Bombyx mori: one gene and its partner. The protein of the gene in region 2 interacts with the protein of the main gene of each other region in a pairwise test. Links are inferred from orthologs where the notes say so. Each region holds a gene or a part of one and is shown on either strand. Other genes may lie near its edges. The genes, in order: formin-binding protein 1-like and actin nucleation-promoting factor WASL.

Region 1 (3,834 bases), about 9.0 Mb from region 2:
TAATACCGAAATTAAATCATCTGAAAACAATGTCGATTATTTTAATTCAATGCTGTTATTATATTTTCGGCTCGTTCCAAGCCATTTTTTTTTATTGCTTACATGGGTGGACGAGCTCACAGCCCACCTGGTATTAAGTGGTTAATGGAGCCCATAGACATCTACGACGTAAATGTGCCACCCAAAGTATTCCGGGACCATGCACGCTCCAATAAATAATCTTCCACTCCACTCTATAGCCTCACCTTATTCGAACTGAATATGGAGAGTAGACCGCCGCGTTTCTTTAGCTTGTTCCCGGAGACGGTCCCCCGGGACGCCGTCAGGTGGTTGTGCGGCTGGTGATGGGTCGACGCCGAGTCTGTTGTGTCTGCCCCGGAAGCCAACTCGAACTGGAAATCTTCGGGCGGAACGAAACCAGACTTGTACCTGTCTATAACTAATTTTGTGTCCTGGAAACGAAGAGAGTAACTTTAACCGTTAAACCTATTTTTCTTTTTTTTATTGCTTAGATGGGTGCACGAGCTCACCGCCTACCTTGTGTTAAGTGGTCACTGGAGCCCATAGACAACTACAACGTAAATGCGCCACCCACCTTGAGATATAAGTTCTAAGGCCTCAAGTATAGTTACAACGGCTGCCCCACCCTTCAAACCGAAACGCATTACTGCTTCACGGCAGAAATAGGCGGGGTGGTGATACCTACCCGCGCGGACTGACAAGAGGTCCTACAACCATCACTATAACTATCTGTTTATATATATATATGTAAATGAATTTCTGTTCGTTAGTCTCGCTAAAATTTGAGAACGGCTGGACCAATTTGGCTAATTTGGGTCTCAAATTATTTGTGAAAGTCCAGAGAAGGTTTAAAAGGTAGATAAATATGAAAATGCTCGGAATTAAATAAAAATAACAATTTTGTTTTCCCTTTGATGTGTCCCCCGTCGGACGGATTCCTTTTATTTGTTTTAAGTTTATTTTATGCAAAAGTTTAGGTCTTTTATTCATCGATTGAGGCACTACGAAGTCTGCCGGGTCAGCTAGTTTATTATAATTATTATTTTTCCCTACCTAAGCTAGTGCTAGCCTTGAAAGGCTATGCCAGCGTAACCTAACAAGTTAATTAATGACACACTTGCTGAGGCTATAATATAAAAATAATTTTAAAAAACGAGTCGTACGCCATCTATTGGACGTTAATGGAACTAAGCCTTTTTTCATACCTATTCTAGTAACCTCGAGGGGTTATACTAGATTCACCGAACTTGTAGGTGAGCTCACAAGCTCTAACCTGACGAATTTGCCAACACGAGCCCTAGCAAGAGCAGTGCTTCACAGAATCTACCGCTGGATCGTAAACGCGACCCCCTGAGAAGATCCGGCGGGAAACTCAGTGGGCTTTGGCAAAGAGTTAATTTCGTCGTATTCGACGAAGGATTTGGCGAGAACGGTAACCGGTGCTTGGTGTACCTAAAAGCACTGATAGTGGATCGAGAGGATCCGGAATTACGTGTGTTAGGCGACGGCGACTGTTAACCTTTTGGTTCGCAGGAGCGGGTGTAGCGGCTAAGCCCTAAAGTGGTGATAACTGTACCAAAAGTTGTGCCACAACCAAATCAGTAGTACAGATGCATTGTTAATATTTATATTTTAATTATAAAGCATTTACCGTGTTGCAACCAACGGCATGAATCTTCCTGATCATATCACCGCAAGTGTGATATCAACAGGAAAATTCAAAACTCAAAACTCGTTATTGTTGTAAATACGGATTGTTATTTTATTACAAATATTATACAATATATTTAACATAAAAATATTTTTAGATTGTAAAAAAAAAAGATATTTAAGAAACAAATCGCTTAGTAACCCACCACGTCCGGTTTGAAGAATGCGAAAAGTGAATGGCTTTGAATAAAATATGTTAATAAAATTCACAGTACATAAATATATATAATTTCACTAAAACTAGTTTAAAACTTTTCATAAGAGTTGTGTTATTATAATTTAATATATATTTTTTTTAAATTACCTCTTTTTCATTAATACTATTTGCGGCCAGTTCCATCCCGTCAAAGCACTGAATGATGATCGGAAAAACTTTCCTTTCGACATCCACTGAACTTAACATAAAGTTCTTAATATTCTTTATTCGTTTCTCGTCCAAGTCCTGTTGCGAAGGAAATGAATATAGAATAAACAACAACAAAAAAACAAATTCTACCTACGACGAAAAAATAAATTTATTGGGCAACTTCCATAAATTCGGGCGTTGTAAAACACATCAATGTTTTTTTTTTCATTTTTATTTTTTAAATTTGTTGAATTTCGACATTTCCGAAAGCAGGTTACGTCACATATCACAATTATAGGCATTTTAAAATCGTATCTGTCTACCCGACCTAGTTGGCGTTCGGCCAGAGTGCACACTAAATAACGATGCATTCTGGAGAATGTAAGCGTAGCCACCGTCGATTATTTACATAAAATAACCGAATTTGGCTAGGATTTCATTCAATAATGTAATTTATCAATAATGTAAAAATTTATTGTATCCCAATTTCAAACAGTTCGTAAATGTAACAAAATGTATGTAGTTGTCTGTGAACCGGAGATACACAGGTTTAATTTCGTCAGATAGGACACGAAGCGATAGCTCATAATATTTATACACATTAAAGTATTTATGTTCTCTCTAAAAAAAATTCTCGCGACACGTTAAAAAGTTGTGTGAACTAGTGCAAAAACATCATCATCTGAATTTCTGAGATATCATTTCACCTTATGCATATTAATGTCGAAGAGACTGATGCGCGACATTGATACTATAATGTTATTTATGCTCACGTGCAAACGAAACTTCGTGAACAATTTTTTCAAATGTTTTTTTCATATGGACTTAAATAATTTAAGGCGGAAACTTTATGTTAGCATAATGAACTTTGAAATGGTCACGGATCTTCAATAAAATAACGATCAAATTAAATAGGCACATAAGAATATTTTAACATATTCAAATGTAATATAAATCGCATATATAATGTAAAATAAAGCACTCTCGGTTCATCTGCTCTGACTGAAGGCATCGCGACATGTTTTCTCATAAAGATACGGAAAAGTATTTAAGCTTTTAAATGTATATATATAACATGAGAGCCCGTTAATAGCAATTTAATACAAAAAAGAAGAAAATCGGATGACAAACGGAAGGGAAAAACGTAATAAAACGTTGTATCTTCGCCTATATACATAAAAATTAATGCACAAAATGAAGGCTTGCATTACACGTACTTGCAACTGTTTGAACACGTGCGGTAATCTCTGCTCGTAGTGTTGCCTCTGGGCTTCGTTCGTTTTGCGAAGCTGTTCTAGGTACTCCTGTTTCGCATCTTCGCACGCCTGACTCCTGAGTTTCATGTTCGCTTTTTGCTTCTCCAACTCTGCCCGACTGGAAACAAGTTTATTGATCCTGTCAAATCGCTAGTCGTAGGACGTGTTCTGCCGTGAAGCACTAATAAATGCGTTTCAGTTTCAAGATTGGGGCAGTCGTTGTACTATTATTAAATTGTGACTTCGAAGTCGTTGTTAACATCTAATGGCTACATTAACCACTTAACACCAGGGGGATATGAGGTCGTTCAGTAATAAAAAAAATGCGGAATATGCATTTGTAAAGAGCATCAAATTGCAGAATCCACGTCCAATCTATCCAGAATCAAAGTTACTACAACGGCTGCTTCCTCAAATGGGAACGAGTGATTGTGTCGGATTAAAAAAACAAAACGTTTTGCAACATACACTCAAGATGGGTGTCAGGGAGTTATTAAGAAA
Region 2 (4,470 bases):
TGCAGATATCTTCAGCAATCAAGCATCTATGTCAATGAAAACCAACACAAAGTTGGTCCAAGCAAATAATATGGTTATAGGCATATCATGAGATATGAGTACACCAGATGTTGCTTTAGGCCAAGACAACTTCATTATTATTATTATATGTACTATAAATACAATATTACATTATTTACTTTCAACATAGTTTTAAGCTTACCTCAGCTTCGAAAGTGTGTAAATAAGGCCTTGGGTTCTTATATTCTATCTGCATATAAACTTCGTGCTCCCATATCATTGCTTTTCGGTACAAACAGTAAATCCTGAAGAAGTATGAGCGCTTGCCATTGTCCTTTATAAGGCACAGTACACCAGTATCTCTCTTCTTCCATTCAGAATGTGCTGGACCTTCAGTTGTGAAGAGTTGAACAACTGTAGTTGCTAGACTCTGAAAACATTTTAAATTTTTAAATTATGTGTTGCTTGTGATGACTATGAAAGAGAGGGTCTTTCATCAGGCAAGTTTATTTTCCAGACAGCGGCCCGCAACATATGTCTAAATCAGAAAATAGTTTTGAATATAAATACTATTTTTTGGATACTACAATTCTTTGTCAAAATATAGGTATATTTTTTGGGCAATTCTCGGAAAGTATGTAGGCTTACTGGTGGTAGGACCTCTTGTGAGTCCGCGCGGGTGGGTGCCACCGCCCTGCCTATTTCTGCCGTGAAGCAGTAATGCGTTTCGGTTTGAAGGGTGGGGCAGCCACTGTAACTATACTGAGACCTTAGAACTTATATCTCAAGGTGGGTGGCGCATTTACGTTGTGGATGTCTATGGGCTCCAGTAACCACTTAACACCAGGTGGGCTGTGAGCTCGTCTACCCATCTAAGCAATAAATAAAAAATTGATGATGTGATTCAAATTTTCATTACAAATGCAAATCCTAAATCTGCCTAAAGCTCCCAAAGGGTATCTGATTTCACCAAATGACAGATTATTGTCACTATAGTATCTAGGCATATATGTAAATGGGTATTCTAAGATATTTTTAAGAATAAAAATCTTTATTTCAGTCGCAGATAAAATCCAATGCCGCTGAGGCTTCAATTTTGTTTTTAAAGGTAACAGAAACAAGATTATGGTATATATGTTGCTCCAAGAACTATGTATCGTACCACATTTAGATAATAATAGATAATAGATTTTATATTGAATAACACAATTTTTAGATAATATAATGATTAGAAAAATCTAAAAAGATAATATATAGATAATATATAGACTTTAGATAATATATTGAATAACACAATTCTTTTCTGAATCATTGAGTCAGTGAGTCATAATTATATTGAATCACATAAAAATATGCAAATCAGATACTAGTAATGAGGTGGGAAATATATTTTTATTGATAGTGGCTAACAACAGAGCTGACCCCGTATATTATTGATACAAGTAGTATATGAAGACCCATAGAACAGATGATAATATGGAGGGGTCCAAATGATTTGTGAATTTTTTATGTTTAATGATTTTTCATATATTTCAATAATTTGAAATCGTAGTGGTTTTCTTGTACAATATGGTACAAGATTATTATATTCATGGTTGTACTTGACCATTGTTTAATAAGAGATAAGTTGCGCTTTGAAATTTGTTGACTGATGATTTAATACTTGAAATTGTATAGATAATATTTATACAGACACTCCCAACAAACAATCTTTTTTATATTGGATTTATTAAATTTCTAAACTATAATCCACTACAGTAACATGTGTATGTATATTATGAATATATTGTATAATAGACAAGACATGCAAAACCAGTTGTCGTAATAAATACTTTACTGAGATCTGATATAGTAACAGACTTTCACTGTATGTCTTTATGGGGTGAAATTTCTATCATATGCAGGCTTTGAACACTTTCACGACATGACTGGTCGAAATGCAATTACACTTTTTCTGACTTGTTAAGATGTACTTTTAACTCTTTTTTGATTAGTGTTTTTTTTTTATAATTTAAACTGGGCAGCTAAGAGCACACATGATGTGGAATTATCAGTTTATAGAACTCTCAATATCAACCATAATTGTTTTGCCCCAAATTTTTCACATTAGAAATAGACAGGGACAGTTTCCACTGTTCAGAGGTTCACAAATAGTAAATATACTTTTTATATTATTTGAATTTCGTTTAGATTCTATTACTTTTATTTATTTCAGTGTCTTTCATGATTGTGTGAGAATAGTTTAATTTCAAAAAATTCCCTATCTGTGGGTTTTGAAACCCAATATGTGAGTTAATAATCATTTAGAATTTACGTTAGTTGAATATATAGTTTGTTGTACACAGAAAATATAAAAAAAATATAAAAATTCATTGTTGAAATTTGTATTGACAGTAATTTAATTCCTAAACATTGCTTGGGCCTGAAATGTCAAGCATTGTAGTCGGTCGGTTAAGTTCCGAGGGTTTATCAAAAGCCTTTTATACTATTAAAAAATTAAAAAGATTTGTAATTTTCATTAGATTTAAAACAAGACATTTAACGTTACAAGGAACAAGATAATATCTTAATCAATCATCCAGGCGATAGAATAGGACGCAAACAACTCTATCGTTTAGATAGCATAAGATAATACATTGATAGGGCTATAGATACGTAATCAAGGTGGACTGATTCAACGCGAGCTACTTTCATGAAGGATCTAAAAAGGATGATTAACTCACCTGACATTTTGGTCCTATTAGGCTGAACACCTGTTCGTTCTCCTCGCGTGACAGGAGATTTGTCGTTCTGTGCTCTCCCCTCGGCATCTTGCTTGCCTAACGTAGATATCACACATAAAATCACTATAAACACATGAAAACTGATGTGTCAGCTACAAAAACTCTTCTGCATTTTAATGTTGTTTTGTTCGTTTTATCTAGCCGCTGTTTTTACTGGGCCCATGTAAACATTTCTCATAAAATGGAAACATTCATCTCGAAAACTAAAAGTTCTTAGGAAACCGTTCTGATTTTGCAAATCTTCACTTTCTCCCTCTGTGAGCGTATTAACTTACTGTGCTGTTTGATCTGATTCAATGTGTATAGTGTATAGCATAGATTATACACTTAAGTGTATAGTCTATGGATTTTATTGTGCTCTCGAATATATTAAGTGTATAATCTATGGTGCTCACAGACTATATGCTACGTGTCGAGTTGCCAAGCATTCGCAAATTTGTTTTTATTTACCTACTATGTACACGAACAAAAAATTCCTTAGTGACATCTGTCTCTACACCCCTGATTTTACTTATTTCTTTCCTCCATAACTCAGGGTTAAAAACCGGTTCGTGCATATAAAATTTATTAGCCGATATCTGCGGCATCGGTGACTTGGTCAAGGAAATGTCAATATTTTTTTCTAGTGACACCTAATATTTAATAACGGTGCTAATGCACCAATGGTAACAATGCTAATAACCGCTTAGCATCTGTGAAAGTACCTAATTATAGAAAATTAAGAAAGTACTGTGGCTATTCAAAGTTTTCTAAGAAGTTCACTGAAGTATTAATAACTTCCGAGCATTTTTCTGGAACTTATTCCTTTGAACACGTCTCGTTTCAATCCATTTCATCACAGTAGATTAGGAGGTAAATCAATTTCATTTTTATGTACTACCTATTATTACAATGTGTCAATACACCAGTGAAACTTATGTGGGGTAAAATATGGGAATTTTTAGCGATAAATCACTATCCCAATTTTCTCTTGGCACCTCTATACTAGAATGACAGCCATTTTGTTTTTTTTTTACTTCGCAGTATGGAGGGTAGAGGCACCTCTACTTCGCAACTCAGGCGCCTACAATGATTTAATCATTGCAACATCTACATAATTTATTACTATATAGGTCTATGAATTTATGTGTACTATCTATGATCGATATAGACATATTAGGAATATGGAGGGTAGAGGTAAGGAGAACCGTCTCTGTGTGTGAAAAAGTGTCCGTTAAAACTGACTAAATAAGGGTGGCGCTACAGTAGCAACCGGGTAAATTTTAAAAAAGGCCCTGAAAGTTATTAGAATAAGATAGAGAAATAAAAAAGGACGAAAGACCTGTAAGCACTACAAAATCACAAAAAGTATATTATTTAAAGCTGATAAGAAAATGCAATCGATGTCTCCACCTTTTACCACAGCAATAATTTTAGGTTATATTGACGAAATTAGTTTGGACTACGTAAACTTGTGTATTACACTGTCACTAACTACAAATATATTAAATTTCCTAACTCAGCATACTTCAATCAGTTAAAAACTGCTCAATTCATATCATACCCTGTGCCTATGCTAGCGCCATTCTGGAGGATTTTTGAACTGTTAGTTATTGCTGAAAGTGCGACACTTTTTCAAGCTTCTTCCATATGAGACGGTTCTCCTTACCTCTACCCTCCATAATTAGGAAGACGAAAGAGGTGTCAT

The links.
Region 1: the proteins of actin nucleation-promoting factor WASL (region 2) and formin-binding protein 1-like interact in a two-hybrid assay, tested with the Drosophila melanogaster proteins (3 studies listed by BioGRID, with this or other methods). The link is inferred for Bombyx mori from reciprocal best matches to the Drosophila melanogaster genes WASp and Cip4.

What each region holds. Positions count from the first base shown.
Region 1 is NC_085121.1:6,519,877-6,523,710, reverse strand, and holds part of formin-binding protein 1-like, read right to left. Parts: intron 3,452-3,834; coding exon 3,295-3,451; intron 2,174-3,294; coding exon 2,036-2,173; intron 453-2,035; coding exon 246-452; intron 1-245.
Region 2 is NC_085121.1:15,494,904-15,499,373, reverse strand, and holds the start of actin nucleation-promoting factor WASL, read right to left. Parts: upstream 3,130-4,470; 5' UTR 2,811-3,129; coding exon 2,724-2,810; intron 431-2,723; coding exon 203-430; intron 1-202.